Neodiprion lecontei: one gene and its partners. The protein of the gene in region 3 interacts with the protein of the main gene of each other region in a pairwise test. Links are inferred from orthologs where the notes say so. Each region holds a gene or a part of one and is shown on either strand. Other genes may lie near its edges. The genes, in order: thioredoxin domain-containing protein 5 homolog, tyrosine-protein kinase Shark and protein draper.

Region 1 (11,161 bases), on a different chromosome or scaffold from region 3:
ATTTTTTACCTACTTTTTCAACTGTAATCAGAGTATATCAAGAAAATCGCACGAATACAAAGAACACTCAAGAGAAATTAACCAATTCAGTAGATGACGTTATTTAATTCATGCAATATTACTCTGATAACGCAGATCCTTTACAACTAATAATCTATGATTATTATTCAGGAAATCATGTGCAGATTCAGACAGCTTTCGCCCGACGGAAGCGAGTGCGGTTGCATGAAAGCGGTTGTTCTCTTCACGCCAGGTAAGATAATGCGCTTTCATCATCTATAATGATATAAGATAAATATCGGAATTGGGAAAGAATGAATTTTTCTAATTTCAATGCATCCCTACGTCGGCGGTCCTTTAAAATACAAACAGATTTTCAAGAAAGATCTGTTTGTCTGTCTGTTTGTCCAGAAAAGACCCGGTGATAATCTTGGAAACGGTTCAGTATGAAAAATTTGTAATTTACGGGACTTATATCTTAATTTTTTATCAGAAGCCCTTCGTGAGCTGATAAAGTGTACTGTATAAAAAATTACTTTTTGCAGCTTCTTTGAATCAGATTAATAGAACATTGATAGATAAGCTGATACGGAAATAAAGTAAGCATGTCCAGCCTCGTTAGTATAGCCGATGCTGAAGATACAAAAAAAACTGTTGATATAATTTTTACAGTGTATTTGCAATACTCCGTTCGATTTTTGTGATGGAACTCTTTGGATACCATCGTTATGGAATTAATTGTTTACAATCGTAATGGAACCGTTAACTGGAAACGATAATTCTTGCAGTCTTACTCCAAAAAAAAAAAAAAAATTACTTGTTATATAACACATCGTTAAAATTGTGATTGTGGTTTTTGGACTTTCTAGAAACCAGGGGACTTCACGAGGGGCAACCGGTCCAGATGCTTCAAGACCAGGCCCAGTGCATTTTGGGAGATTACGTGAGATCGCGATATCCTCGTCAGCCAACAAGATTCGGGAGGCTGCTGCTCCTGCTCCCGAGTTTGAGGGCTGTAAATCCTTCGACCGTCGAACTCTTGTTCTTCCGAGAAACGATCGGGGAAATACCGATCGCTCGTCTGCTCGGCGATATGTACCAAATGGAGAGATACTCGAATTGAAAGTACCTAATCGTATTTCATAGAAAATCTGACGTGGCCAGAGGACTACTTTGACGTGTTTTTATATACTAACAATATTAAGTATTATGTTATTTTCTGTTTATCCCGCGATAAGATTGGCTATTACCCATATTCAGATAATATTGGGCTCTCTTATAGGTAAAATGTACATATAGGTATATGTATGTTTTATTGTAGTCGATGTGTGAAGGATCATTGGTCGAACAATAATTCACCGAAGACTGTCGATCCATCCCACGATGAAACGTTATAGCTGTAAAGAATGTAGGTGTAAAGTTTCATGCAAACTGTGAATAACAGCTGTCAGCAGAACGATAATGTGTCTCCGTTACTGTAATACGTGACGAAGTACAGTCTGCGAGTTTCGTTAAATAACCGCTAAAGAGAAATTTGAAAAGAAACTTAGAATGTATCAGAAGAATTAAGAAGAACTGTAATATTCAAGTGATTGAGTCATACGCAAAACTGAATGTAGGTATATGGAGGCAATTTTTAATACAGTGATATGAAAAAAAAAACAGCACCTCATCTCATTACAGAAGATAATTAGACTTATTTCTCTTAAATATTCGTTGTAAAATTGTGCGGAAGATATTTTGACCAGAGGATCTGTGCTCTAATTGTCGTATACCAAGTACACATATAGCTGCATATATTTATTGACACTTTTTTCAACAATCTGTTACGTTTATCCACATAAAGAAAAAATTTATATTTAATTTGTTCCTATTTGCACTCTCTGGTGCAAATAACGGAGAAATAGAAAAAAAAAAGAAGAAATTCATACAATCGGATCACGATGAGCGCTGTCAATATCTGGTATTATAAATCTAAATTTTAATTATCCATACATACCAACAATTATGAAATACACATTCTTGTCAATATAGTACTGACTTTTGCAATAGTGGGTCTGAAGATGATTATAAATTACGTCAAGTATGTTCATCATCACCTCAAACCCTCAAAATGAGTATCTTGTCTATCGAAACGAAAGAAAACGGACAAAAATACGTGAAACGATAAGACTATACAAGAGGAAAAGTTCAACATTGCTGCTGCATTGCCTTTCTTGTCAAAAAATTAAGTAAAATGCAAAAATCTCATGCTCGTGTTCGAATCATTTCGATATATAAGAGACGAATCACGGTATAGTTTATGCACGGACTTGCTATATTGCCACAGCTATGGGGATATGTTGCATCTTATCTTATCTTCGTGTCCGCCCAGTTATGACGGCTACGTATGGATTTGATAATTCGAAAGCAAATCGGTCGCACCATCCCTATCAATCGTTAAAACTCATTAATCTTTACGCTATAATGGCCTGTAATATATGTATCGTTGTTCATTTGGTTACAATGTTTTTTCAATCGTTTGAAAAATATTCTCACTTTCTTATTCGCTTACATTTGTAAAACACTTGGGAAATGTCGGGCAGATGTAATATATGGGTAATATTTATCGTGAAAATTGAATTGAGAATTTTTCATGCAGTATTATAGTATTATAATATATAGATATACAGTATTATATATCTAGGTGTATGTATGAAAGTTCGTTAGCAAAGTATTTTAGCGATTTCCCAACTGTGATACGTCATGCAACCCCTTTCATTCGTCGTGTGCAATAAGAGTAACGAAAAAAAGAAATAATGTATGAATAATAATGATTAATACCCGTAAGTATCAATGAGCGGTAATTGATTATATAGTCGGGATTCATGTGATTATACATAATATCGAAGGAAAGTTGACACAAATCGAGCAAACGTACTTTATTTATATCGCTTATTGCCGCATCTGTGCACTTTTACTTGTGTACGCATTCCACTAACTATAAGCACACTGTTGTTCTTCGTTGAATATTATTAAACTAGGTTTCACACCGGTTGTACAAAGTTCCGAGTAAAGTTTTCACAAATTTTGGCCGAAATCAGCGAAAGCAAACTTCAAAAGGTACGACAAAATTTGTTTATAAATTAGTCTTGATGTCAAGTGTAACGTTTGTCGATATTTCCAGGAATACGTCCCGAAACGGCGTTCTCAAATCTTCTGAATTTCTCTCTTATCACTGTTTAACTCCCTAAATTGAAATAAAATTAACTATAATATATTCAAAATGCGAGATAACTGTTTCTTCAATAACTCGTAAGTTTATTCATACGGAACATTAATCGTTCATCGTGACACGAAGACTGTAAACGGTAAATCTCGATAAACGACGGTAAATTGAATAAAATTTACGTTACTTAATAATACATACATACAATGTTACGTGTACATACTGTAAAGTAGCTGTAAAATGTTTCTGCTGTAAATCGGAACAATGTGTATAAATGTATTACGTATTCATATACATATGATATAATATACATGCTTACTATTATCTTAAGGCGATTCAATTCCCGATTATGATTATGCGCTATTCATTCGGTTCGGGAAACAGAAAATAATAAATAAATGCAAGAAACGTATGAATCAAGTGCGAACACTTGGCAGTAAAAATATGTCTTAGGGTATTGTTAGATGTGTTAATAACAAAGACACACTGTTTAATTTCGAACCATTTTAATAATCCACTCAACATAGGCGATCATTTACAAAACACAATATTTATACTCAGTATTCATTTCACGTTTTTACAAATGTACATTACAGGCTCACTTGTAATGCTTACCAACTAATCATAAGTATGTATAAAGTTTAAAAGGAATAATTCAACAGTTTCTTTTGGAGTATGTGAATCGAAACTGCTGCATGCACATTATGACATAAGTTGGACAACGGAAGCTCAACATCTTACCTCAAACAAACGACTTCAACTCTGACTAAAAATGGATACTAGTTGTTCATTTTAAATGCTCTGCAAACTTTTCCTACGTCCGATGCTGACGCAAGAATAGAAGCTAATCTTATCAGCTGATTGCGATTTATCGGATTTCTAAGAATATTAATTAATATAACTCAAGGAAACAAAATATTTTACATTTAATAATACAAGTTTTGTTTATTTCAAGTGACATAATCATGTAGAACCATAGAAATTGAAGACCAGAATTAATGTACGAGTTTACCATTTCAACTTGGTTCTCCTCTAATAACGTCTCTTCGCATTGTAGCGAATTGTGTCTCCAGTTCTCATTCTCACCCATTATGGTATGGGCTGGTTCTGTTTCAATTTCTTGGCAAGCTTTCGCTTGATAATAAGTGTCTTGTGAGTCGACATGTGTCGGTAGCTCCAACAAAACGCCTTACTAATACGATACATTATGGAAGATTGCCATGAAACAAGTTTGAAAAATTATATGAAAATTTTTTTAAAAAGTAGAAACTATCATTCAGATCAATTACGCGAGCCGGTTTCATTTACGGATCAAAAACCGCTCGTAAGCTCCCTCCGATAAAAACCGTAAGTACCAACATGCGTTTTAGTTAGAACACATGATCACAGTTCGTCGCGGGACTGTATATGATTCATAACGAATTCGTAAAGATCGTCCAATGTACGCGATCCGTTGTACTCGGACAATTTTCGGCCGTCCTTGTACAGGAAGAGAGTTGGAAAGCCATCCACTTCCTGGTCGTTACACAGTTGTTTGCTACTGTTCATTGTACAGTCGACCTTTACTATGTGCACATTTTCGTTTGCCCAGAATTTTTTTCCAAGCTCTTCCCACGTCGGGGCTAGACGCTTGCAGTGTCCGCACCACGGTGCGAAAAACTTGATGAATGTTACACCCTTCTCAATACCGTTCTTGAAACTCTCACCAGTCAACGTGAACACCGCGTCCGACGGACCGCCAGACTCTTTCTTTTCCTCGTCATTACTCTCCGCGTTCTTGCCCAGCATCATCGACACGTAAGTCTTCAACTCCTCGTGAGATCTCTGCCCCGTGTATTTATCAATCTGAGAAGTGAAAAAGCATTTTAAGAGGTATGGTCAATACTTATTGTACCACTTGAATAAATCATAAAAATTTCGATAAATGCTCATCGCGATTGAATTCGATATTAGCTGTGACATAAAACTTACCTTTTTACCGTCTTCAATCCACAACAGAGTCGGGTAGCCTTTAATGTCGAATTGGCCACAAACTGAGCGATGCTGGGTGCAGTCCACTTTAGAGATACTAACGAGGTCGCCATGAGCGAAGCTGTTCGCAAGCTCATCCCAAGTGGGTGCTAACTTTTGGCAATGTCCGCACCATGGTGCGTAGAATTTAACAAAATGCTTTCCACTGGATACGTGTTTGTCAAACGTATATTCGGACAGTTCCAATAGTCCGTTCACAGGCTGCGGTACAGCTGGTTCGCTGTTCTCTTCCTGCGATATAAAATTACCTGATAAATAGTCAGAATTTTTGAAGATCGTATTACCGATAAAATATAGAGCAGTAATACTAACAACTGGAACGCTTCCGATTTGCTCATTGATGAATGTTGTCAGGGTGGGTAAGTCTCGAGTCCCACGGAACTTGATACCTTTGCTTCCGCCAGCTTTGAAGAACTTGAGACTGAAGATAAATGCAGGTAGTTATATGAGGTTATGGAATTTCCAACTAGTTGGTAATTTACAAGGAAAAATATAGATGAAAGTAGTTTAATGACCCTGAATTTCGAAACATTGAACAATTCAACTGAAGCTACAAGTTTCTTTGCTTCTAAAAGGAAAAAAATTGGCGAGACTCAATCGGGTTGAAGAAAAATTGATAATTATTACGTTGGGTATCCAGTCACATCATTATCCGAACAGACAGTTGCATCAACGGTACAATCGACTTTTGCAATTCGAACTTGACCATCGTCAATTCCATTGAGCATTTCAGCTAATTGTTCCCACGTCGGTGCGAGTCGCTGGCAGTGTCCACACCTAATAAATAACAGAATATTTTCGTTCTATGTATGACGTGTTTATTAAGACTTACATACCCCTAGTCATTTTCAACAAATTTTGTAATTTTTTCTCTATATTTTGAGGATAATTCAACACTTGTTTGAATGAAGTATTTGATAAATTTAGAGAGTCGAATTTCCTTGAATAATGCACTGCTAAATATAGGTTGAAATATCAAATCTTAAAGCCATTTTCACAGGAATTGTGTTTCTTAAAACTTTGGGGCAGGTTACTTGAGACCTCTAGTGGAGATTGAATCTGAATTTGAACTGTACATTTGTGATATTATCTGTTCATCTGTGGCTCTCAGGTTTCAAAATCATATGGCCAAGTTTCATTTACTTTAAGAATTTATTTAACATTTGTTTCGGTTACTACCATTTCATCATTTCTTATAAAATCTCATCCTTCATATTATAAACATACTGATGCTACTATTTTTCATTTTTTTCTTTCTTAAATAATTGTGTCTCTGAAAATCACATACTCAAATAAACTACAAACACAGAGATTTGAAATATCCATAATATTGACAGCGAAAAAAAACTTAGTGGAATCAGCCACACTTATTTCGGTGTCCCGGGATATGCATCAACATTATACTTGTAATGAGTGTAATGACAATTGAAATATTATGAATTATAAACTATATATTTCGTGTTCGCTTGTGTGTCCAAAATTTTTTGACTTACCAAGGTGCGTAAAACATGACAAAATGATCTTTCTTGGCTATCTCGACAGGGAAGGTTTCCGCCGAATATTGAAGAGTGTGGACGTCATCGTCGTGAGCAATGACCTCGCTTTGATATGTTGAAATTGTGACAAGAAGTGCGATGATTTTAAGAAGCATAGTTACGAGTGTCTGTGATTCGCTTTAATTTAATCGCTGATAAATCAAACAATCGTTGTTCACTGATTTTCTGAAAGAAAACAAAAAACCAATCGTCGTGTTGTTATCAGTTACTGAGAACCAAGAGAAGATGCGGGCAAATTTGCGTGAATAAAAAAAATCGGCGAAATTTGACAAAACTTCCAGTTTTATCAAATTAAGGTTAGCTAACTAAAGCGCGATTTCTACTTATGAGGAAACAAAATCTTCCCGCAGCTTGTTATTTAGCGTAATATTTTATACTTTTGTCGAGGGAATTACTCAGGGGGAGGTGCAGTCTTGATATCGAAGTGTAACACTTTCTCGCAAGAACACGTTACCTCTCGCCGACCGATCGAAAACACACAAACCTCCAATCCGCCCACCGGGTACGAGACAGCGTACCGCGGGATGACACTGCGCCTGATTAGAAACGACTCTTACTCCACCTGGCGGTGAATCGGAATACTGAAGTTTAAAACATGGGCGGGAATGTTTGTCAATTCCGTCGCGTGACCGATTTGGGAGTTTCTACGAGAGTACACCGCATTCTTTCGTGAAATATAGATTCAATTAGAAATTTTTGGTCGTATGACCGTTTTGGTATTTGAGAGTGCGCTGCGGTCGGCTAGTGAACATAAGATTTCATGTCGATTAGTTAAGTAGTTATATGCGAATATAACTTTAAAGCTTCCCTCGCAGCGAAATTGATGGATGAAAAATCTGTACGATATTAATTCAGTCCGGGCTGATTATGAGTAAAGCGCACTAACCGACAGTTAGTGAGCTTACGTGGACTATATTGAGGATTTTTGTTTTGGTCCAGATAAAAAGTGAGGCTAACTCTTTTTGATTTTTGGTAAAAATTTTGAGATTCTGAAAAGTGCTGGCGTTGACTGAAGAACATAAAGACTGATGGTAACCCTGGGTAAATTTTTGTGACCAGTTTTCGGGGGGCAAGTGGGCCCAAGTGGGCCTGGGAGCGTAGGAGGGTTCTGCTCTATCGAGTCTACTTAACGAGCTCGCACTCAAGGAGGATGCCTCCTTGATCGCACTGACATTCATAGCAGCCAAAGTAGTGTCGATATGAAAGCTTGAGATTGATTCGACACAAAGAGACTACTTGTCGACTGCGACTTAAAAATGTCGATCAGCTCGATAATCCCCGTGACAAGAAGCGTGACCGCGTCCACCGCAAACCACCCCGAACTACTACCGAGCACCATCAACCACCGCCGACCACCTCGGATCACCTTCGCCCTCGTCCACCTCGGCCATTTCCCCCACCTCCTCCTCCAGCCCCACGTCGTCCTCGTCGTCGGCGTCCTCATCGACCGCCATCAATCATCTCCAACCACTACCAAACACCTCCGACAATCTCTTACCACCACCAAACACCTCCTACCATCTTAATCCACCTCCTACCACCTCCTACTGCCACCAACCACCTCCTACCAGCGCCTACCACCTCCTGCCATTTCCGGACACCGCCAACCACCTCCGAGCACCACCGACCACTTTCGTTCTCCTCGTCCCCCTCCACGTCATCCGCCGACCGCTCGTCTTCGTCGTCCTCGTCGACCACGACCGATCACCGTCATACACCTCCAAACGCTTCCTACGTTGACTGAAGAATAAAAATACAGTTGCCCCAATGGGCTTTGGTGGGACAACCGAAAGTCGTCGTGCGCTTGCGCTTCCCGAGATGTTCCATCGGTAGAGTTGAGAACTTATTGCAGAACATCAGAGAATTACCGATTTCGACATGATGCTGGCTGCATTCACCTTCCGAGTAACACAGTCTTCGCAATGGTGAGCCCAAGCCAGTACTTGGCTTGTGTATACTAACCGACTTGTCGGCGATACAAGAAATTAATAATCAGAATAGATTTCGTCCAAAATTCGTAGCAAGACGGTGATTTAATTGAAGTATAGGTACCCGAGGGAAGAATGTATACATAGATCATAAATAATAATAGATCAGATGTAATAAAGATGCAGAGACCAGAAAATATACAGTATATGCGGTCCATGTACGATATTACTATATATATGATCCAGTAACAATTAATACGTAATGCATACTATAAATTTTATGATTTTCCAGGATACAAACTAGATTACATACAATAATACGGCTATGATATGATAACAAAAGAATTGTTCATTTCGAAATGGGATTCTATTCGACACGCGCTCGATGTATTCCATTTGCTCTCTCGATCTTGAATTTTCATAGGCACAGCATGGAAACGTTGTTTTAACTAGTCGTAAATGAACTATCTACATTTGGTAAGAAAAAAATTCGGAGTAACTGCATGACATCAGGAATGCGCTAATTTTAATTGAAATGAAATGGATGCTCCGCAAACGAGACAGTATTTAACGCAGTGTGCTGATTTGAAGACCTAAAAAGGTGAATGTCGGAGATTTTTTTTTTTGATGGGGGGAGATTGAACGGAGCTTCTTAAAACTTCAAGTGTATTTTAACACACATTTGAAAGGTGCGAGCAAAAATTTTTATCATGCAACAGTAGCAGAAAGGCAGCGTTATCAGCTGACCCGTTAACTGAAGGATATATCTTCAGTCAACGGCTGACCATCGAAGGGCCTGGCCGCTTGAGTCTGGAATCGGCAGGAGAGATAAAGTGCGAATTTCTTGTTTGAAATGTGAAAACTAAAATCATTATACATCATATCATATCATCATACACCATACATCATACATCATCATCCATCATACGTCATATCATACATAGTACTGAAGTTCGTAATCCAAGGTTGCATGTTCGGATATTCCGATGTTCAGAAAGTGACGTCACCTGAAATTTTTTTTTGTCTTTACGTCATCCATCTATACAGACGAAAATCAGCTAGCCGAATTCTTCAGTCCGGAAACAATCGCGCAATAGAGCGGACGGATGAGAATCGCGCTCCGCAAATTTCGAGTACTGGGTTCTGTACCAGCTGGATCCTGCCCTCCGGGTCCGCTTTCTGGTGCAACTCGAGTTCCAGGACAAGCGCTCCGTAGTTCCTGCGCTCAAAGTCCACTACCTGGTGAAACTGGACTTCCAGGACAAGCGCTTCATGGTTCCTGTGGAGCACGTACAATACCTGGTGAAACTCGACTTCCAGAACAAGCGTTCCGTAGTTCTGGCTGTCCAGGTCCATGACCTGGTGACTTTTGACCTTCACAACTAATTTTCCGTAGTTTTCCAGTTTTTCGTAGCTCTCCATTGTTCCTGCGCTACAGGTCCACTACCTGGTGTAACTCGACTTCCAGGACACGCGCTCCGTGGTTCCTGCGCTCCAAGTCCGCTATCTGGTGCAACTCGACTTCAGGGACAAGCGCTCAGTAGTTTTCGCGCGCCGGGTCCACTACCTGGTGAAACTCGATTTCTAGAACAAGCGCTCCGTAGTTCTGACTGTCCAGGTCCTTGGCCTGGTGACTACTGACCTTCAGGACTAATTTTCAAGTTTACAAGTTTGATTATTGCAAACGTCATGTTTTGTACCATCAAACCAATATTCATGCTTCGGATTACATTTTGAATCGGGATAATAACCGTACGACCACGATAAACAAATTGCAATTGCAATTTGGCATTCATCCTTACACAATATTTTTGATGTGTTTTAATACTGGAAATATTGATTAGTATTCGAGGATAACCCGAGGTGGGTAGCGGTGGTCGTTGGATGTGTTTGGAAATGGTCGGAGGTGGTGGGAGGGGGTTGGGGCTGGTTGCGGGTGATCGAGATAGATGAGGAGGAGACCGAGGAGCAGGACGGGGAAGATGAGAAGAACAAGGTGGACGAGGATGACGAGGATTTGTGCACTGTGAGTATAACATTTTTATAATATTTAACGGAGTGGGAGTAGGATCAGGAGTAGAAGTAGAAGTAGGAGTGGGATCAGGATCGAGAGTAAGAGTGGAAGTAGGATCACGAGTAGTACCAGGATTAGGACCAGGAGTAGGATCAGGAGTAGGATCAGAAGTGGGAGTGGGATCAAGAAGATACGTAGGATCAGGATCTGAAGTGGAACCAGGAGTAGGACGAGGAGTAGGAGTAGGATCAGATGTAGGATCAGGAGAGGGATCAGAAGTGGGACCAGAAGTGGGGTCAGGAGTCAAATCAGGAGTAGGATCTGAAGTAGGATCAGAAGTAGTAAGTACCAGGAGTAGGATTAGGAGTAGGACCATGAGTAGGATCACGAGTAGGATCAAAGTGGAAGTGGGACCGGGAGTAGG
Region 2 (12,953 bases), on a different chromosome or scaffold from region 3:
ATGTATATCAAAGTTTCATAGGTCATACGTGCAAGTCATGCTTTTGAAATCTGTCACGTTGAGATCATTGAAACAGAACTTCTGTATTCTACCCTTGGAGCTGTTTTCATTAGAACCTGTCAATATAATCATAAAAAATACAATTTCCGCTTTTGTTTTTCTTTTTTTATATCTTATTCCATGTTAACGTTTATCAGTCAACTCAAGTTCATACTTGAAAAATGATACCAATTTATATAAATTGGGAAAAATAAAAAAGAGTTATGATAAGAAGGAAATCCATGAAACTTTCATATTCAGCCATGTTTGTTGCCCCATCTACCTCAAGCTTATAAATCAGAGGTTAAAAGTCTAATAAAAACAATGACATAAAGTCTAAAAAGTTGTCCGTCAATATTTCTGTATCTATTGAAATGCATATTTAATATCAGTCATACAAGCTGTATGACTTTGTTTCTTCTTTTCGTCAACTTCTACCTGTACACGATGTCCTAAGAAAGAAAATAAAATGAACAATTCCGATTTGGACTTGTGAGGAAAACAAAACTGTCAAAGTTTGAATTTCAAGAAAATAATGGGTAGCACAGGGTTGGTGGGTCTAACAAACTTTTAAATGTATGCAATTCGTTAATTTTCACCTTTAGGTTTTGAATGTATGAACGACTACGTAGATTTTGAACAACTGCATTTCATTCAACTGCAAGCAGGATATTGACATTTCCATTCAGTTATTTTGCTCCCCAATGAGCAAAATATCGGTTTTGTTGAATAATTGAGTCAAGATCTCTATAAACCATAAAAGGAGGGTTCCGTCTCATCGATTGATTTTCACAAATTCCAACCTGTTGTCAGTACATGCTATACATATACGTTATTAAATCAAATTCTTCATGTGATTATAATAATAATAATTTCATAAGTGAGAGAATTAACGTATTGTAAATAAGGTTAGGGTATATTATTATAATATGATCATTATTTATTTTTTATCGCATTATTATTTTTTAAGTAAGAGAACGTAAATTGTAAACATATATGTATACACTATATGTATACATTATATGCTTATAATACGACTATTGTTTTGCGCAGGCATTCTTGCATATTGATATGAAAATTTGAACTTCGATCTTTTATGCAAGCAAACATGACATATATATTCAAAAGCATTTTTTTTTTATATTCATTCAATACTTTCATTTATCTTATTTCGTCAACCTAATTGTAAGCTTTAATTAATTAATCATTAACTATGCTTGGTGTCAATAATGACAATGACGTTATTTAAAATTTATAATGTAAAGAAAGTTTCGGATTACCGTACCAACTACTTATATTTATCATTTTGTATGTGAAAGCCTGTGCATAAAAATTTATATTAGAGCAAAGATCGAACTGTTGTTGCAGCGTACCGTTATTTGATTTTATTTATTTTCTTTTTGTTTGATTGAAATATTTATGACCTCTTTCTTTTGCTCTTGTATATAATTTGTATATATGAACATGTAATATATAAATCACCTAAGTAGGTACATTACAACGTCACACTATTCTACCTTTTATACAAATTTAATTACATACACAAAATTCTGCTTTTCTGTCAAATGTATAATTTAAAAAGCAAGAACAAAATAAAACAGGGAAAGAACACCGCATATGAAACAGCATCCGATTACACGTCGAGAGATAAAATACGTGTAACGATTATCGATAACTACATGCATAAATGTGTCCGGTACTGTTCGCGGTTAGACGAATTGTCAAGTTTTCTCTAACAATTAAAGTTAAACAAAATATGTTCATTTCAACACGAATTTTAAAAGTATAATAAATGTTATGTAGATTTTACACTATGACGAAACTTCATTTCAGAATCCTACTCGTCTTTTACTTATGTCAATTTTCCATATCATTATTTCGCTGACCTTCGCTACAGCTAAAAGATCTCTTGAAGTCTTACTTAAATATTATAATTATAAGATTCAGTATTACATTCATCGTTGCATGCTTTTAAATAGCTTGCCAGCGTTATTTACTCTACAGGATCAACATCTCGCAAGATTGAAGTTAGTAACGTTATCGTAATGAAACATTGGGAAAATAATCACTATTGTCTTAATTTTACAATGATTTTTAAGGAACTAAGATTTCTTAATACGGGTGTTTTATTTTATTACGATTTATTGAATTTCAGATAATTGCAAAATCGCGAAATACAGGTCTTTCTTCAGCATGAATCGTTACGATAACGTTACTAACTTAAGTATGATAAGATCTCGTCATTAGAATGTCGGAGCGTTCTTGATTAATCGGAGCTTCAGGTACACTCCGTATTCGAAAAAATTTGCTGGCAATCATTTCATTTGGCTCTGTTCAGCGAACGAGGCCGACTTTCGAGGATGACATACGTCGTCTAGTTAATCGTTCACGTATGTAGACGGATAAGAGGCATAAGCAGTTACGAATCATGCGACTTACCGGAGTCGTAACTCGTCGATGATCCTGCATCCTCAACTCCATGATATTCCGTAATCCATGCGTAATCCATAAATTCACATTATCATTTCACTTCACGCACACTAGCAAAAACTAAACCTGGACTTGTTCTTTTGTCTCTTTTATACAGGCGAACAGAAACAAAGCACTGTCGATATGACGCGGCAGAATCCCGCCGAAAGTGAATCGTTGCAAGGTTCAGTCAATAGATAGGTCGATACCTAGATTATTTTTATCATTACTCACATGCAGTTAATGCTCATTTGCATAAAAACCGCCTATCATCAACCTCACAATTACCCTCAGTAGCAAATCTCTGAAAAATGACGAAAATTAACTCGGAATCGAGTCGTAAAATAAAGATTACCACGTTATCGGTCGATCATTCTAATAATTTTTTCCGAATTCGGTCGTTACGCAGCGAACGCGTACACAAGATGTATCCTTCAGGTGCCTTCAAAACGTCATAAACCCTTCAATACAATAGAATCCGATATTTCGTAGACAAACATTGTCGGAAAGATGTCTTATTACCCCCGAAAAAGATCCGAGATCGTTGTATTGCGCAACTCTTTCACGATTCGAAAACTCTCATCACATGCACTTTAGTCACACCAACCACCCAAAACTTGTGTATTAACTCAACTAACGATTTTTTACACAGTATTTCACGTGGACCTGACTATAACCATTTTTATACACATACAATTAAGGATTTACAGCGAAGCGGACAGGGAAGACGTAATGCCCGGGTGTCGGCTACACCAACACTGATTTCAAACTACATTCGATGCAACAGTGTTTTGTTTAACGTTTCTTCCTTCGATATATCGTTCGGCCGAGTTGAGACGCATCAATCCGCAACTTCTCTCCAATGAATTCAAACTTCAACAGTTCAACCATGAATCAGACATACGTATAAAAATAATTACCTCACCCTAGCTCTAATCGTTGACTGGCTGTAATTGAACTGATACATTTCATTTAATTTCCTTGGGATGATGGATACACTGTCGAATGAAACAATACAAATCAGAAAATCGATCAAGATGGCCGAGAAACAGTCTTTTATTTTACAAATTTTGTAAAATATTTAGATGAATACCATCAATTAGCAATTTCTCGCTTTTTTTAACAATTCCTTGTTTTTTTTTTTCCAAACGGCCAACTTCACTTTGAAATAAGTTAGCACTTGTTATTAAATTTATATTTTCAGCAATACCACTATCGCTTTCAACTTAATTTATAATTCGAGAAAGACTCATTTGAATACAAAGATTACAGTCTTAAAGAAAGTATAGAAAATTTCAGGTCTTATATGGTATAATGTGTACAAAGTTAAAAAATCGTCTAGTAATCGTCAGATTACGTATCTTATTATTTACAAAACTATTACACGTCTGATAGATCGTCTGAATTAAACGCTTACCATTTTTATAACTGCGTGGTCTCATATTTTACTGCAAAATCGACCTATTGTCGTATAATATAATTAATATAACGTTAAAAATACGTAGGGCTAAAATAAAATATACTAATTTCTTCCGCAAACATGTTGAAATCAGCTGATATCGACAGCGGCAATAAGCTCTTTGATGTTAGTGTACTCGGGATCACTGCTAAATATTTCCAAGAGTTCGGCAAAGTTCGGGCGATCCACGGCTGAGTATGACCAGCAGCGTTTCATTACCGTGTAAATATGCTCCGGACATTTATCCGGTTTTTCAAGACGTTCGCCATTCTCGACCAGTTGAATTACCTACAACCATGGAGAAAGTAATAGTCACATCAATTTTCTTGAACGATCCTTTTTATCGGTTAATGAAAGTAAACTTACATCTACTCCGCGTCGATCTCCGTACGGCTGATCTCCGTAAGAAAACATTTCCCACAGCGTAACCCCAAAACTCCATACATCGCTTGCGTTAGAAAATGTACCGAAGTTGTATGATTCCGGGGCATACCTGGTGATGGTCAAAATTTCAAAGAATTGAGATCAAAGGTGAAAAACTGGTGATCAATATTTTATATTTCAGTAGAAATAATAAATACAGATACACGAGTGACCATATCGTCATCATCGTCCAATGACTTTTGGCACATATTTGTATGTGTAAGGCATCAGAATTTTAAGAGTTACCACTTTATTGGCCATTTTCCACCCTCGCTAGCTCTGTAGTAATCGTTGGAACCAAACGTTCGTGAAAGTCCAAAGTCACTGATCTTGGCTTGATGTCTGGAAGCAAGTAGAATATTTCGTGCAGCCAAATCCCTATGCACAAGTCGGAGTTCCTCCACGTACTTCATACCTGAAAGAATACTATAGCGTTTAAAAGTTGAAACACCAACTGGTCGACAATTATACCAGTGAAAAATGCGTTTCCTCACCACAAGCAATCTGCGATGCCCATATTTTCAGTTCGTAGTTCGGGTTTACTCGGTCGGGAAATTCTAGAAGATATGCCAGCATTGAGCCGAGTGGAACTAATTCTTGAACCTGAAATACAGGTAAAATTGTTTCCACAACTTGCTAGTGCTACAGATATCAGGTACAAATTAATCAAAAATTTAAATACATTCAATTATACCATGAGCAAGGGTGGTCCTAAGGAAAGCCCGATGAGCCTGACTATGCAATGATGGTTGAGAGACATCATAACGCGCGCCTCTCTCAGAAATTCGGCACGAGTGGCTTCGCTGTGAGATTCGTGAAGTGTCTTGATTGCAACTGGTTCCCGAACACCTGTCGGAGCATCATACACTCCTTCGTAGACTGATCCGAATTCACCTTCGCCAAGGACGCCTCCAAGGATCAAATTTTCTCCCGGAATGAACTCTGCGAATATAAATTCACTTGAATGCATTGGAATACATTGCTGTATGCGAAAAAAACTACGATCCAATCACTGAAATATGCATTACCTTGGATTTCCCGTGCTTCTGAATTCAAATTAGCATCAAAGTTTGTCTCATTAGCCGTGACTGGGATATTGTAAGATGAAGATTCGTCAATGTCAAGATTTTGAACAGAGTCAGGCTGAGTTGAAAAAGATGTGGTCTCTAGTAGTGTTGCATCTCTAGAAAATTTGCCTCTCTTAGCCGTTGACTGTCTCGATTTATTGAGTGTGTTCTATCAAAGAAAACATATTTTCACGAACGAAGAGACAATACAAAACGCCTGCACGCTCTTCCTCAGTTAATTTCTACTCACCCCATTAAATATAGACGAAGGCATTTCAGGAACCGGTGGTCTTGGTATTGGAGCAATAGGATGAAGCAGAGGCCCAGGGAGGCCATCGGGCATACACTGATAATATTCTACGACGTGTTCCAGGGAAACGAGGTAGGGGCCATTATCAATAAACAACAAGTCCCCCTGTACTAATGCAATAGAACATTAAAATAACGTGAAGAATGAAAATGGGCGAAAACACAAGCCAAGGTTACATCTAAAACTGCGTAATGATAAATACTTTAAGAATACAATGTACGTGCAATAAGCATGGCTGACCTTTCTTTGTATTTGGAAATGGTACGCTTGCTTGTGGTACATAACTGTGAGTACGTAACCACCGCGGTGACGATCGCTAAACCGAACTAAAAATGATCCGTCAACGTCACCATGTTTGTGTAAAAGAGCGACTGCCTCGGTTCTATCTAGTGTTCCGTGGTACCAATTGCAGCGTTTTTCTTTTGGAGCAGGTCCCTGATAATCGCCTGAAGAAAATAAGCGGTAACCAAATAATTTATGGCTAACATTGTTGACTTTTAAATATTTCTCACAATACCCTAACAACTTACACAACAGCTTTGCACATTCCACATGACCGTTTCGCTTAGCAAGATCAGCCGGTATATCATCTTCCATAGTGCGAGGATTGACAGGCGCGTTCATGGAAAGTAATACTTGTATCACCGTATTGTGTCCCCTACTAGCTGCTTCATGCAGAGGAACCATACCTGAAAAATATGCTAATAGAGTGGAGTATTTCGATCTTTCTATACTTATTTTATGAACAAAACCGTTCTGATCAGTGTTATCGAATAGTCAATGAAGTATTTAGTATACATGCCACCAGGACTTACCTGTCTTTGTGTTTCTTGCCTGAATATTTGCTCCACCCGTTATTAGTATTCGAACGGTACTTGGTAAATTACTTTGACATGCATACTGAAACGCAACACAAAAAAGAAACCAAGAGTAACAACGTGAGAACACAAAATAATGAACCAGGTGATTTGGAAAACTATCGAAAACGAACATCAAGTACTGAGTGTATAATGACACAAACTAAAAATCACAATACCAATATGAAATTTATTGAACAAGAGGTAAAGTGTGAATATTCACAAAGGTACAGTGTAAAAATGTATAATAACTATCTTGGGATGGTAAGAATCGTTAATAATTCTTATCAAAATTGTGACGGAAATGAAACATGTAAGGGTGACAACAGCTCTACAGATGAAAAAAAAAAAAAAAACAATCAAATCCCACTCCACATTATTTCAGACTCACGTGTAGGGGTGTATAGCCAGCAGAATCCCTGCAATTAACGCTGGCTTTATTTTGAATCAGTTTTCGAAGAATTTCATCCGCTCCGTTCATTGCTGCTAAATGTACAGCAGTTTGACCCAGTTGATTTTTGGCATCCAGACTTCTATACCCGCACTTCAGCAGCTCTGAGACTATAGTGTAATTTCTCTGTACGGAATTTATAGAAGTGTTCAATATCATCGACAAGCACTGATAAATGAATAAACTAGTAGTAGCTAGTTAATTCTACCTGAACAGTCGCTCTGTGAAGAAGGTTCGTTCGTCCATGCCGCCTGGTATCGTGGGGTGGCGGTTTACCAATGCGAGGGTTGCGCAAAACCGTTTCAAGACCATGATGACTATCTTGATAATATTCGATCAGAGTATCCAACCCATGAATTGTTGTTTCATCATCTGTTGGTGTTTCATAAAAAATTAACCAAACTGCGACAAAAATTATAAGAATACATATGGAATGTGTAAATCGGTAGGTAGATAATCTTTACGATTGTCGAGTCGCAGCATGTTACTTACCTATTGAGAAAAAAGCATCCTCCTCATGTTTCCTAATTTGATAATGAATCACTTCACCATTGTGGAGAACAGATAAGACGTAATCCCCCAAGGACGAGCTACTGTTTCTTACTAAAAATGTGCCATCCTCTGTTCCTTCTGAAAAATTAATATTATCAGAAAAGGGATAAGCACAAGACAACTTCTTTTTTCTTCTTTCACTATTATTCCAATTTCAATAACCATTAACACATTATTACAGTTAAAACTTCAAATCACACAAAAGGATTTTATAAAAACAAACAAAGTTGATACACTGTACTTTTTATTGAATCTCTCAAAAAAATATCTCTTTAAACACTTACTATGATTTATAATATACAAAGAGGTGCAAATCATTACGAGGTTCGATACTGACACATAGAATAAATGGAATAAAAGATGTTCAGTGTTCACGGAACAACAGGACGCCAAATGATGACCATAAATCACCAGTAAATTAACTAAGGTACCATATGCAAAAAGTACAATTACAACATCTATCGATTTCAATACAACAAATTGCTAAATTCTCTAAATGGCATCACTGAGAGTGTACGTACATGCGAGTGTTGAAAAATTGTTTACAAACTTGGTTAGAAAATTGACTCAGTGGCAAGGGGTATTTTCAAACAAATTTTGTTGATAACTACACATGGATAACCATGAAGTATATGACATTAGGTCGGAAGCTTACAAAGTCGAAGCCGTCTCAACCAAGTCTGACATTAGTGTTTCCGAGCTTTGGTACTCTGGGTATGTTTCAAGACGCCGAAAAGCTAGACATTTTTCACAAGCTGCAAGTGAAATTTGAACGTAAGAAAATAAGACAGAGATTATAAAACACACTGGGTCTCGTCCCTTCTGTTAAAAATGTTTCGAGACGAGCAGTAAAGTATCAAACATTCAACAAAACAGGTTAGAAGAATAAAATATATATATTAAGTTGCGTGAGTTTAGTTGAGGAGCAAATAAATAATATCCTGATTCTGAATTACGTTGAAACAATAGTGTAACATGGAAGATAAAATGGCCAAAGAGCATTGTTGTGACATATCCAAGGAGGGCGATCGATGATGCAAATCGATGCAAATCACTATCCGTTAAATGCCGAGTAACGTTTTACGCACGTAGGCATAAAAACGTATGCACACTTAATAATCCACAAATAAATTCCGCATTACCTTCCTTCAACATATTTTCCGCATCTTGACGAGAAAGATCTCCGTGATACCACGCTATGTTTTCCTCGCTGCCCATTCTTAGGGTGTTTTCCAAGTACAATAATACTACACACACGCATGCACGAACGACGGACACAATATGATGTTCATTAATTCATAACGCAGTTCGTGTAGTGTTACGACGGTGGTAATATACAAACTGACAAACGATCCGTTCAAATATAATACATACGTAGCGTGAACGGTAACATTTTACACCAGTTGTCCAGTGATTCATCGAAGTAACAATGATTAATTTGATATTTCAGTTTCGATACTCATGAACCTCATGAACAAGTAACGTCGCGTTTATCCAACACAGTCCATAGGTATGAACTGGTATGAACGTGACTACTGCCAGCCAGTTAACACTCTGAAGGCTGAAGGAATCTGTATGTATGCACGAAGGTATGCACGCGGGTGTGTAAGAATACGCAAATGCGTCCGTACAGTCTATGAAGGCTTACTTCGTGCCTACGTGAAGTAGCCTTTGACCTTCGAATTACTTGAAAACTTTCTACGCCAAAAATTGCTACCGATGCTATTATTTATTACTCACTTCTACTCGGTTTTCGAGATAGGAAAATTTGATAATTGCTACTAATTGCTCCTGAATCGCTAGTAAACGCTCCGCAAATCTCGTAATTTGATCTCTCATAGTTTTCGAGAAAACTGGGACAAGAAGGAGAGACTGGCTTGGAAGTTACGTCCAAGAGCGGCGGATTCGAAATAGTATCCGGAACAAATTATGTTGATTCGGTCCAATCGACAATCGCATCTCAAGTTGCTCCTCGATTTCTTTTCAATTATCTACCAATTTCGTCATATGCTCCCTCACAGTTTATAGAAATGTCGGCAAAACGGCACGAACTCGTCGCGTGGCAGAGGGTTGGCTGGGCTGAGTTCAGAAGCCTTACCCGAGTGAACTCGGTGGAACTCGGATATCATACTGTCTCTGTCTAACACATGAGATTAAACAAAGACGCAGCGATACTGAGTCACTCGAGTAAGGTTTCTGAACTCAGCCCTGAAGTTCTAGCGGGTCGGCTGGATGTTATTAGCAGTGTTGCCAACGCGGATTGCCGTAATCCCGCCAAAAACCGTTGGACTCGTCTGAATTATTTCCCATCAAAAATCACCGGACCAGCTACGTTTTCGGCCAAAAAGAAACACCACACTTCGAAAACCGAATTTGACAAAGCGATCAAGAGGCGTACATACAACCCAACTAAAAGGAAAACGACCAGATTTAGCGGGAATACCACCAGGTTGGCAACACTGCTCTGTCGTTCTTCTTTGGTTCTTACCACGTCCTTACTTACATCGGGGTCGTATTTCAAATTTCTGCAAATTGCGTTCGGACGAGCTTGTAAAAATATAACAATCAATATGTTATTTGAACATCTGGGGCGACCCATTAAATTCCATCTAGTGAACGTGAGTGATAAAGAAAAACTTGAATTAAGCCGGCTCATAACGGTGAGTGTGTTTTGCGTAATACAAAATTCAATAATAAATTCAAATGTTCAGCAAAAATTGAGCATCATGTTGCAGTTCCCAAGTAACTTTTCCCCGTACAGCGTCGTAGCTCATTATTTTGACTTGTCCAAATCAACACTTGACTCGATACAGAAATCTCCTCAAATTCGCAACCGTCAGATTATATAAACTTTCTACAACAGTAATTATCGTACAACAAGCACATCTTGGACATTCGGAATTATTTTGAAATATGTTCAGCTTCAACAGTTTCTTCTGCAATTGTCACATAAATTTAACCTTCACAAATGAATCCGAGGAACAGTTTCCAGTCAGCGATTACGTTCATCGGTCAATGATCATTTGCAATTTTAGTCCCAAACTTCAATTAGTTCTAAGATATGTCGGAGGACCCTTTGGAACTCACCGCATCAAAACAATGATAGAAACGCTTTGGCATTGGTAATAGCAAACCGTAATCTTCCATCAAGGAGCTTTCCCTGAATCTGAGCAAGCTACTTGTAGATGACAGACACTGATTTCTGGACCAACGTGAAATCTGTTGTGTATCATTTAATTGTTAAGAATAATCACGTTTATAGTCTATTTGGAAGTCTAAATTTCTAACACGTAATGGAATTTATTGAGGATACATTGCGAATCTTTCTGTTCTAAATGTTGTAATTTTGATGCAATTTTAATGTTTTTGTAATCATTTTGCTCGTTGATCTGATCCCTATGAGTTGATGTACAAATTATGCTGGAGAACATTAGAATCAGATCAAAAACATGAGAGTTTAACCATTTAGAAAGATCCAATTATAAAACATTTTCTCAATTTGGTGGTACGTTAGCTTGTGTTGGCTAAAGTTGCTCGGATTTAATTCTCTTACTTAGTCAGAGTGTTGTTTTATTCGTGTTTACCATCATCGGCACAAATAATGTTGCTGGAGATATTTTAATTAGTTTGTGAAACGTATATAATTTTTGAACTACTGGTAAATTCGAAAAATTAACGACGGAGCCAGGAATCGAACCTGGTATCTAGCGATGCTTTACCGGAGCCTTACTCCACTAGACCACCTAGCCGCCTTAATCTCTCTCTTAAGGCGGCTAGGTGGTCTAGTGGAGTAAGGCTCCGGTAAAGCATCGCTAGATACCAGGTTCGATTCCTGGCTCCGTCGTTAATTTTTCGAATTTACCAGTAGTTCAAAAATTATATACGTTTCACAAAATGAAAATTACCTCGTGATTAATATTAATATTGATGATGCATATCCGCATTTCAATATTATAATATCAGACGGTCATTGACTGTCTTACGAGCTTCGCACCAAGAAGCGTAAGTTACCAAAATGTAAACACACTTACAGACACTCTTACAATTGTGCTCGAAGAGGAAGAACACTTTCTATATCCACATTTTAATTAGTCTTTTTTCTTTTCCTAATTATTAATTTGATTCATCCAGTCAACACATCCTTATGAATGCATTGTTTGAATTGTTTATACAAGAGTCCTTGCACTTTTCTTATGATCCTCAAAGAGCCTCCAGAAAGGGACATTTTTTTCCTGTTTTTATCAGTTACAACCAAATTCAAATAACAATGAATACAGTTTTAGATCACCTGCAGTGTACTTTTCTTAAATCATGCTTCAAGAATAACAATGTTTCAGGCCAATGGAGGAGTCGTATCTGAAGACTCATTGATAAAATTTACTATCAGAAATCCTCATGTAGGAAACGAGGAAGTATATCATGTGAATTTCATACACAATTGCGTGAAGCAAAACAAGATCTTGGACATAACGAAATATAGGTAAAATAACTAATACTGAATAATTTGTTTTTTCCAAATCCAAGTTCCATTTTTATCCTTTCCAAGAATAGTCAATGCATGCAAACTGTCTTTTCGGTACAGTTTCCTCATACAACTTGTACATTTTCTATTATGTTGCATAATCTAGGCACGGAGCCATGGGGATTGGGTGTCCAATGAGCCAGTTCTTGAGAGGAAGCACATCCTGCATGGTGTAAGTTGCTATGGGGCAGTTTTTTTTTACATAGTCAACGGTTTTTGAGTACAATCATAAAGTGGAGTGCCTATTGTATTTGTTACACTGAAAAACGTTGCTACGAAAAAAAAAAAAAATCTCACATATACATTTCAACGCATTCACCGACCTTTTCTACCATTTTCCAATAACGCTGAAAATGTTGCACTCTGAATTACGTGAAAACGACTTCATCGATTTGGATAAAAGTTGAATGAAAAATCGAGCATTGACTAGAGACGATCCGTGCAATTTTCTAAACCTTTAGGACTTCTGGTTTTTGCATAGCAAGTTTTTCAAATTTGTAAGCATTATTTCATATAACTAGTAAATTCCAGTGAAATAGTTCGACAAATTTCAATGAAGTTTTCATGATAAATCAAGTATTTGGTAGAGTGTTGGAAAGTCTTGAAACTCATACCAAGTCTTGTTACATACGGAGCAGTAGTTCATACCATTTTGACCTGGGTCTGAACTTTGACCTCTCGGATTGGGCCCGCGATTTTTGATATGATTTTTCTCACTTGGAAAGCACTCCGTAACTTTTTTTAGACTTTTTTTTTACTTGGTTTGAATTTCCCATGAAATACTCTAGTATATAGGTTTGATAT
Region 3 (9,606 bases):
GATTATTGAATAATTTGCACAAACGACAATACCATTTTTTCGTTGGAGAAACCAGAAACCAGATATTAGCAAAATAGAATTTGATATTACGCATATCCAACAAAGCCAACACAACTGTCAAACCTCGTGCTACACAATCGTTGTGTAAAATTTTTACTGTATTTTTATGTCGTGTTTATCAAAACGCTAATGAGCCACGCGGCGTGAAGCGCCTCTTGAACATCCTATTTCAGCAGAAGCTGAGATTTGGATCACGTTCCAGCAAAAGGGAAAAAAAAAAGATAAATAAAAATACTTATAATATCCAATCTGAAACAGTTTAGTATTTACATTCATAAGAACTCCAACTTTATTCACGGCTTATGATCGAACAGCGCCTTGTTGTCGGCTACTTTTCCGCCCCCGTTTCCGTAGACCGGTTGTTCTGCCACCCCTCGCAATCACCCCCAACTCAAACCCCGAGCGTCGCCCGGCGCGGTTTCCAAGGGGGTTCGGCGGGGGACCGGATGATAAATGACGTACTCACGGTAATTGCCTCCTAAGTTATGGCTTATACTGCGTATGAAATATGGTATCGTTCCTCGCTCGCAATTACTGCCCGGCTGTTTATCTCGGGGAGAGAGAGAAAGAGAGAGAGAGAGAGAGAGAGAAAGGGAGAAAGCTTCGCAGCTCGTTTCATGCGCACGCGAAAGCGCATGAGAAAATTTCCTCTGTATACGTATGTAGTTGCATATTCGATATACATATATACATACGTATACGACATAAAAACGGTTATATGAATTATACATTTGTGAGTTTGATGAAATTCGTCGCAGGGGTTAATGCCAACGGCTTGTTGCAATATGCTGCTTAATCGTAAGTCTTGAAAGTTTATTTCATGTTTTTTACTGCAGGGATCGATGTATTTTGTAATAGGGTTGTTGAGGTAGTGAGGATTTTTCTCTAGACCGCCCCCCCCCCCCCCCAAATCAACTTTAAATAATTCTCAAAGGTTTTCAGAATTTTAGCTCAACTCTAACACGTGTCTACAAGAGGAAGGATTTCCCTATTTGAAATACGCGTGTTTCGGATACATTGTTAGTATATATTTTACTGTAAGATTAATAATGTTCAAAAAAATGTGTGACTGCGAGGTTTTAGCGGGCATTAGTGGTACTATTTGAGAAAAAATTCACACCATCATACCCGGTAATCTAGACGAATTTGCACTTAATCCAAATAGAATAAATTCAGATTTCGAAAGTGTTCAATTCGTTGAGATTGTATGGTAAGATGATGTGTACTTTTTTCAAATAGTAGCACTAATGTCCACTAAAACCTCGCTGCTTCAGATGTTTTTGAACATTATTACTCTTACAATAAAATATATTTGTACTGACAATGTGTCTGAAACACGTGTACTTTAAATGGAGAAACGCACCCTGATGGCGGGAGATTTTAGAGTTGAGATAAAAATCTGAAAAAATTAGGCAATTGTTTTTGAATTATTGAAGGTTGATTTGGAGAGCAGCTCGGAAAAAATTAGCTGTCACTCTAAATAAGAACAACCCTATGTCAGTATATGAGGTATGTCCGAATCGATTTGTAATAATATAAACTGATTTCACAAGTTTATCCCCCCCCCCCCCCCCCCCCATGCACGTGAAATCTCAAATCATTTTAAAATAGTCAGTCTTAAATATTATTCTTTTGACTAACAATGACATCGAAGTTGAACGATAAAATCTCTGTATTGGGAACGGAAATTCTACAGTCACGTTAAAGCCATTGTGACGCGTATTTTTCGGTATTCTGATATCTGATCTTTAAATTTAAAAGAACGATATTTAAATCTCACAATTTTTGAGACGATATAATTTAAAAACAATTTAAAATTCAGTATGGATGTATTCTTTTTAAATTGTCAGTTGAAAAAGAAAATAAATTGGTAAAATCGGGCTCATTGCATTAGGAAATGATACCGTGAATATTTTTTTTTGAATTTATACTCACTACCGCCACGGAGTGGTAAAAATAGTGTGCAAGCTGCCCGTAAGGTCACAGCATGCTTTGATCCATTCTGTGGCGCCATCGCTCCTGGAAAGCTTGAATAACGTAACCTTGAGCGCCTGATATCGCAACTACAGATACACGTTAGAGCTGCAAATTCCGTGCAGTCAGGCGCAAAGTTTCGACCCATTCCAATTGCACTTGAATAATGCTGGCAAAATAAAGAAATAAGGAAAGTGATATCTGATTTGAGTCATGCACTGAATTTAACAGAAATTCTTAACCTATGAAAATAGAGTGATCGGGAATTAGTTATCAGAGAAAGGTAACGAAGTGAAATAATTGAAGAGAGAAAAAAGAAAACTGAAAATTAAGATCTACTGTGGTTTCATTTTACACTAATAACGTAGCTTTACTGTAATTTATTAATATTATTGACTAGTCACTGATTTTTGTTCTGAAAGTACGAGAGAAAGGACGAGAGTGAAAACGTAAAAAGATCGTCAAATATGTAGATGGTAAGAATAACGAATTTTCAAGAATGCAAAAACTTATTTTGTCCACCTTTTATAATGCACAAATTTGAATTATATTAAAATGAAACTGTAAGAAACACCAAGTATATAAAGCCAAAATATAGAATCGTCAGATTGAATGAGAGTATAGCAGAATTCTGGAGATACAATTTTTTTGTTTCGGTACGTTAACTTTCTACATTTTTAATATTCTATACTTTGACTTTCTACTCTTGTAAAGATGCTAAAAAATTGATGTTCGCGTCTTCAAAAATTGAATATTCTGGTGTTTCTATCGATTAAGTCGAAAAATAGTGGTAGTGGAAGCAGAGTAGAATGTGAATCGCATACCAAAAAGTAAATCGAAAAACCAGTATAATTATAAAATTACAATTAAAATGAATAAGCATTACGTTAGAAGAAAGTCTTTAACAATTATAAGTTTTGCAATTAAATCAGACGAATCCAATTTCACAACCACGGCGAACATTCGTAGCGTCGGTACAACAGATGCCTATCCTTACCTTGTCTCGAGAGGTTCGATCTACACGCGATAACTGGCATCGAAGTTCGTTTGAAGTTCTCCGAGAGAGCCGCCAGACGGAAAAAGTTACATCGCCAGCGCCACCAGCGGATACGTGTGAAACTATTCGCTCTGACCGAGGGACGCTCGAGAATTTGTTTCGATTCAGTGCGGCTAGATCCTCCTCTGCAGAAAGTTTGGTGCGGGATATATCAGCGATAGTCGATAAACAGTGAAAAAGTGGAAATAACCGAAAGTGAGCTTTGTAGTGCAGTGCGTGAGTGTTTTTTGGTGAGCGATCAGATCCGCCGATTGCATTCTGAGATACCGCAGTGAATCGAACGCCACCGATTTCAAGATCCAGTGCAAAGTAGGGAAACCGAGAGCCCTTGGAACGGATTTACCCCTCAACAAGTAATGTAAGTGTTTATCCAAGTGTCCTCGTTCTGATCTTCGTTGCTGGCATCCCAGCTTCGGGCTGCGGTATTAATGAACCGTTACAACTGCCGCTGTGGCAGAGAGAGAAAGAGAAAGAGAGATTGCAACGTATAATCGCCTCTCTTTCTCCCCCCATCCCTCTTTCGTCCCCCGACAGTGGTTGTGGAATCTAGTTTCTGGTACCAGATTGTGACGCGGTGCGTTGCCCCCTCGTCGGTTCTTTGTGCCCTCGTTCGAGGGCCTGGAACACCGCGCGAAGCGTGCGGAATGCAGCCGTTTTTTGTTTTCATCCCGGCCGAACGCTTTGAGAGATGACGATCGCCGTGTTTTAAGTATCATTATTGTCACGTGACTGACTCGCTTCTCTCGATCTCCGTCATTCTTTCTCTTTCTATACGGTGAGACGAAGGTCGTTGTTACGCACGACGCGGTTGAACCACTGGCTTGAAGCCGCAGGTGGTTCGCACTGTTCTGACAAGTTGAGTCTACCTCTCGCGTCGCAATGACGCGAGGAAACGCTATTCTGGTGAAAATGATTTCTACGATTTTTTACGAATTTTTAGGGAAATTGGATCGCATCGCATGAATTTGTACGAAAAATTGTAAATACGCCTAAATTATCATGAAAATTTGTATTTTTTCACTGAAAATCTACAAGATACTACGATTTTTAAAGAAAGTCAACAATTATTTGTGAAAAACTATGCATGCTTACAATTTTGTACACGAAATGACACGAAATGTTCCAAATTCTGGAAAAATTCGTAGTAGTAGTAGTAGTAGAAATTTTCATTAGGGTAACCCGGTGCTGATGTGGCCCACAAATGCTCAGAATGTCAGAAACGATGAGAGAAAGTATAGGAAGTCAAATTTCGTTCAAACCTTCGATGACCTATTTGATTTCGAAACCAATTTGGAACCAACGAGTTTCAACAAAATATTTCAATTTATGGTCGAGGTTGAAGCTAATAACATTATTTTGTAACCATACCAACACGTTTAGTTGATTTCAACCAAATTTTGTTGGACTAATAAATCTAGAATTGACACAAATATGTAGATATTTACTTCGTCGCCCGTGACCACAAATATAGTTATTTCAATGATTTTTTTCTCTCCGTGTATTCATAGAAAAATTGTTATTTCAAAATTTTAGGATCTTTTGAAATTCAGTGAACTGTAATAACCCAAAGCATATTTTAGAAACGTCACTGTGTCACGATTTCACAACAGAGCCGCTTGAAATTGTAATATAAAATTTTGCTACTAACTTCAACTTCGTAATTATCCATCATATTAGAGAAATTAAATTACCGTATAATTTATTGTTCTTCATATAGTTATTTCAATTCTGAAAAACGCTAAAATTGGACAAACGACGACAATTGCTCATTTTCACCGTAAACTTAATTGCACAACCACGATTTGAAAGAAATATATTTATCGACACACCATCCAACGTACGGACTGCGATCATTATTACGTTACGTGAAGTGTAAACATCAGAAGATTATATTAGAGATATTAGATTTATCACTGAATAGTTCGTATCAACGCAAGTCATTTTCAATTTCTTCTGCGTTATTAGTTCATTACGTATACCTTATACATTGTCTAGAAACCGATTGTAGTTAATCCGGTTTTGTTTTTGTTTGCAAAGAATTATTAATTCATTCTTTGTTTTATAAATTTTGTTTCATTTTTACCCAGCACATAGCGAAAGTGGTATATATACATTATACATATATATATTGCAATTGCGCAACAGACAATTCAGAGATAATTAATTTATGATGTTGCAAGCGATTGAGCGCATTGCACTTTAACTGCGAGAGTGTGGAAGGAAACACAATGATAAAAGGTTATTATTGTAATGTTCCACGATTAAAAAAACAAACTGCGGCGTATGAGAAAAAAATAACGATGATGAGGTTGACACAAGGTATATACCGTTTTTATTCTTTCTTCTTCTGGTCTCTCTTCCTCGTGCTCAGCTTCTGATCTTCAATTAAACGACATCGCGAGTAAGATGGAAAAGAAGGAGGCGGTTCTGACCTTCGCTCAGAATATTCACCGAGCTCACTTTTCCTCTGCGTCACTTCGACGAGATTCGAGGTCGTTATTCTGTTTCTTTCTCTTTTGTTTCGTTCCTGTCGTGACTCTAAAGTGCAGCAAAGCCAATTGATCAATCAATCCGATGTAGGATATATCAAACATCGCGCAGTCCATTAAATTGTCGAATAAAACAAATCCGCGCTGAAATCAAGATTCAAAAAGTGATCCTCGAATTGCAGATCGAGACGAATTTTATTGATCCTTAAAGTGATGAATAAAAGTAATTCAAAATCGTACATTCAAATGAAATATTCAATTCTTAGTGGTGAAAGAGTTAAATAAGAGAGGATACTTTACTACGTTTATTGAAAATAGTCCCGATTTGTGATCGGAGTTTTTTGTACCAAAAAGCCGTCCTTGTGTAATTGAAAAGCTTGTAAACTAGTGCGAGATCGATCGTTCAGAAAATTTACACGAGTTTTGGAGATCATTTCGTATTATTTTTCCCAATTTTGTGCATAGGAGTCACAATTTATATCAAATTTCGCTTCCTCTCCATGACCTTAATTAATAACTAATTATGTTACGTTTTATTTGGGTTAAAGGCGTATTCCTTGGGATACAATAATGACAAATTTTTTGCGTGAATAAGTTCTGTACAAATCAGCTGATATATTTTTTTAATATTGTCATGCGTCCAGTATATTTATGTTAATCTGCGAAGAATTCATACACCAACAAATTGCATTGAAATTAATTAAAATCGTACGACCTATGCCTGTTTATCTCATTTCGAAATAATACATATATATATTAAAACAACCCGATCGCTCTGAGATTATTATACAATAATTGGCCTTTTTTATCATTTAAAATTCGTCGGATTCAAAACCTAATTTTTCGGTACGAAAGAAACTCTTTGCTTTGATTAAATACAACTTGACTGACTTCAGTCACAGATTACTCTTTCTATTTTAATTTCTGTTTTTTATTGTTTTTCGCTGTGATTACACACTGTGTAAAATAGACATCGGCAACAATAAATAATAAATGACAAGCCCGCGTGACAAAATTACTATGCATTTTATCCCCACAGCGTAAGCTTATTATAGTCACACGCTAAAGTATCCCGAAAATATCACTGGGTCGAAGTTCACTGTCTAATCGACACTGGGAATGCTTGGAATTACTTATCGGACTATTCAGCATGTAAAATGTCAAACTAATGAGACAGTTTTTATGACGAATAAATATTCGCTAATTTCTTGATTAGTGTGGTCATAAATATAATATCGACGTACCGTGTAATAATTTGACGTAATTGAGATAGAAATTTTGCGATGAGCCAAAAAGAGATTAATTACTCAGGAGTTCAAAGAATATTTTTCCCGCACTCTTATCGTAAATGCTGAATTACTTAAAAAATATTTTTGAATGCATCTAGATATATTAGTTTATCAACATTACTGTAACGTATCTAATCCACTGGAATTTCCTCCAAGTGTGCATGGAGCTTTTTTTAATCATTGAAATAATCTTCCGCCTTTTAAACACTACTTAATACTTTTTAGCCTGCGTGAAAAAATTCGTTGCAGTAATAATTCAACTATACAGCAAATTATTCTTCGCTTCAAATTTGAGATAAGGTTCGACTAGTCTTTATCGAAAATACTTTCTTCAAATGGTTTGTAGATAAAACGTTGAATGTCGATATCACTCCACGAATTCCATGACGATGTTCCTAATTTAAAGACAACGGTTACTTCTCATAGAAGCGATTAACAGTCTATCACATTTCGTTTTTTTTTTTTCTTTTTTTTTCTTATTGATTATTATAATGTTTTGTTATTGTTTATCTATGCGTGAATCAGGAAAATCCGCAACGATCTTTACAAGCGATATAATATCAGTGATGAAGTAAAGTAATTATATCGATTATGAAATCGAACCACCGAATAAAATAGTTTCTAAGTCATAAATTCTTTTATTTCTTATAATTGATCTTATTATGGTTTTCAATAATTGGGATATTCTCAAATGGTCGGTATATATAAACATTTTTACCTTGCTACGTGTAGTCACACAATGAAAAAAAAACTTCCAGAGAAACAAAACTATCGTCTTCTTCTCTCCAAATAAATTTGTTGATTCATTCGTTTCTTTCGAATCTCATCAATTTATTTTCCTGTTTGAACAGATTGTTTTTTCGTGTACCGTTGTATTTTATCTCCGCAGTTCAAACTATAAACAATATGCGTTATATCAATATTATCCTGCATTTACCCGCAACATCATCGCGGTGAACTTTCCATGTGAATAAAACTTTCGTAATACACAATGGTATGTATAAATAAATGTATGTATATGTAAATAATAATTTTTATGCACATTATACACACTTGTACGTGAACAAAAAATTGTTGCCACGAAATTTAGTCGTTCGGAAAAATGTCTGTGAATTTTATTGCATTTTTTCTCTGAAAAAACAATACGGTCATTAAAATCAAACTTTCCAAGTTGCATTCTTTGCGGTTAATTTTTTTTCTTTCATTTCTTTTTCTCTTTCTTCCAACATCTCTTGGATATTATATTCACTGTTTTTATCATTACATCATTGTATGCAGCTGCTCCATTTGTGGAACTGCAACGTATAAAACTAAGAGAACCTCCAAGTCGAGTCTAAGATTCTCTGCTTATTTTTATGTAGCTTCGATCTATTTTAATTTAATATAGATTGAATGGAATATAATAATTTAATCCCGCAAAACATGATGATTCAATTACTTATAATCTATTCCTGAATAATAATTTAACATCCGTCCAATCGATGAAGGGAATTTATATCGCGTGACTAATGCCAAAAGGGCGTACTACAGCAGTTAGATAGGGATCCATGCCAAAAGGGCGTATAAAAAAATTTTTTTTTGCCATTCGACTTAAAATCACTCGAAACGTAAAGATCTGCAAAAAAAAATTTTTAGATGTACTAACGCCAAAAGGGCGTATCTCAAGATATATGCCCTTTTGGCTTTAGGAAATTGCCGGCCTAAAGCCAAAAGGGCGTATAAAAAAAATCAAGATTTTTCAAAATTTTGAATAAAAATTGCATATTATTGAGTAAGGAATAAATTAGAAATTATTATCAAAAAAATAATACGCCCTTTTGGCTTTATAACTTGAGATATACGCCCTTTTGGCTTTGAAAATTTTTTTTTCATTTTTAGGCTTAGAATATATTGACAAAACGATTGGCACAAAAAAAAAAAATTATACGCCCTTTTGGTTTTGAAAAGCCAAAAGGGCGTACAATTTTTATACGCCCTTTTGGCATTAGTCACGCGATATATCCTTCCTGCATATTGAATCGAATTAAATCAACAAACAAAATACTTTTGGTTCATACACTATCGTTGAACAGGTATACTAAACATTTCATTCAAAAAACTTCCTCTAATCATAGCTTTGTAATACCGATTGCGAATATTACAACTGAAACAAAGTGTGATAGAAAATAGTTGACCACAACTGCGGCTTATAATAACGCAACTAGCATCGTTATGCAATTCGTTTAAGTTGCTCGCATACATATACATGTATTTATTATGGTATGCAGCCGTAAATACCTTGCACAACTTTTGTATTTTACGTACATATAGAATTTTACCTTCTTGTAGACCATTTTCTTTTTTCATATTGTTAGCTTTATTTTGCAACCCAGTTCGTAATAATCGAAAGGAATTGTATATTTATTGTATAACATACGTACAACGAATTATTGCGAAACAAACGCATTAGAATCCCCTGGATATAGCTAAGAATTGCTATTCAGTTGAATAGTTTCGAACTGTGGTTTGTTTCATTTAAATTTGTACGTGATTAAATCTATAAATTTATTTAAATCAGAACATTGAATTGTTATACTCGTACAGTTTAATTTTTAATAACATACTTGAATTGAACTTCTTAAACCTAATAAATATTTGTCTATCAATTAATGGAACGTTTGATATAGAATTAAAATCGATTTTCATTAGGCTAAAAAAATATTTTTCGCTACAATCAAGATGCTCAAATTATTAGATC

Evidence for each region.
Region 1: the proteins of protein draper (region 3) and thioredoxin domain-containing protein 5 homolog interact in binary tests that used the Drosophila melanogaster proteins (3 or more experiments, as listed by UniProt). The link is inferred for Neodiprion lecontei from reciprocal best matches to the Drosophila melanogaster genes drpr and prtp.
Region 2: the proteins of protein draper (region 3) and tyrosine-protein kinase Shark interact in binary tests that used the Drosophila melanogaster proteins (3 or more experiments, as listed by UniProt). The link is inferred for Neodiprion lecontei from reciprocal best matches to the Drosophila melanogaster genes drpr and Shark.

What each region holds. Positions count from the first base shown.
Region 1 is NC_060260.1:10,939,310-10,950,470, reverse strand, and holds thioredoxin domain-containing protein 5 homolog, read right to left. Parts: upstream 7,329-11,161; 5' UTR 7,173-7,328; intron 6,961-7,172; 5' UTR 6,891-6,960; coding exon 6,733-6,890; intron 6,017-6,732; coding exon 5,867-6,016; intron 5,661-5,866; coding exon 5,552-5,660; intron 5,471-5,551; coding exon 5,180-5,470; intron 5,054-5,179; coding exon 4,592-5,053; 3' UTR 3,698-4,591; downstream 1-3,697. Other genes in the region: protein dissatisfaction, read left to right, coding at 172-253, 870-1,123; uncharacterized protein LOC124294844, read left to right, coding at 9,830-10,013, 10,120-10,293, 10,568-10,749. UniProt on the Drosophila melanogaster protein: Possesses thioredoxin activity. Acts as a ligand for Drpr and is required for the phagocytosis of apoptotic cells. Binds to the extracellular region of Drpr and augments Drpr tyrosine phosphorylation.
Region 2 is NC_060262.1:186,353-199,305, reverse strand, and holds tyrosine-protein kinase Shark, read right to left. Parts: upstream 8,931-12,953; 5' UTR 8,846-8,930; coding exon 8,770-8,845; intron 7,706-8,769; coding exon 7,568-7,705; intron 7,448-7,567; coding exon 7,284-7,447; intron 7,202-7,283; coding exon 7,016-7,201; intron 6,668-7,015; coding exon 6,583-6,667; intron 6,457-6,582; coding exon 6,298-6,456; intron 6,214-6,297; coding exon 6,008-6,213; intron 5,873-6,007; coding exon 5,708-5,872; intron 5,627-5,707; coding exon 5,419-5,626; intron 5,333-5,418; coding exon 5,085-5,332; intron 4,994-5,084; coding exon 4,885-4,993; intron 4,806-4,884; coding exon 4,637-4,805; intron 4,461-4,636; coding exon 4,334-4,460; intron 4,256-4,333; coding exon 4,058-4,255; 3' UTR 3,547-4,057; downstream 1-3,546. Other genes in the region: uncharacterized protein LOC124293234, read left to right, coding at 9,775-10,287, 11,965-12,107, 12,256-12,321. UniProt on the Drosophila melanogaster protein: Following axon injury, required for recruitment of drpr and glial cells to severed axons and for glial clearance of severed axons from the central nervous system.
Region 3 is NC_060263.1:18,481,617-18,491,222, forward strand, and holds the start of protein draper, read left to right. Parts: upstream 1-3,175; 5' UTR 3,176-3,449; intron 3,450-9,606. UniProt on the Drosophila melanogaster protein: Receptor which is involved in the phagocytosis of a variety of cells including apoptotic cells, severed and pruned axons, degenerating dendrites, salivary gland cells, germline cells and bacteria.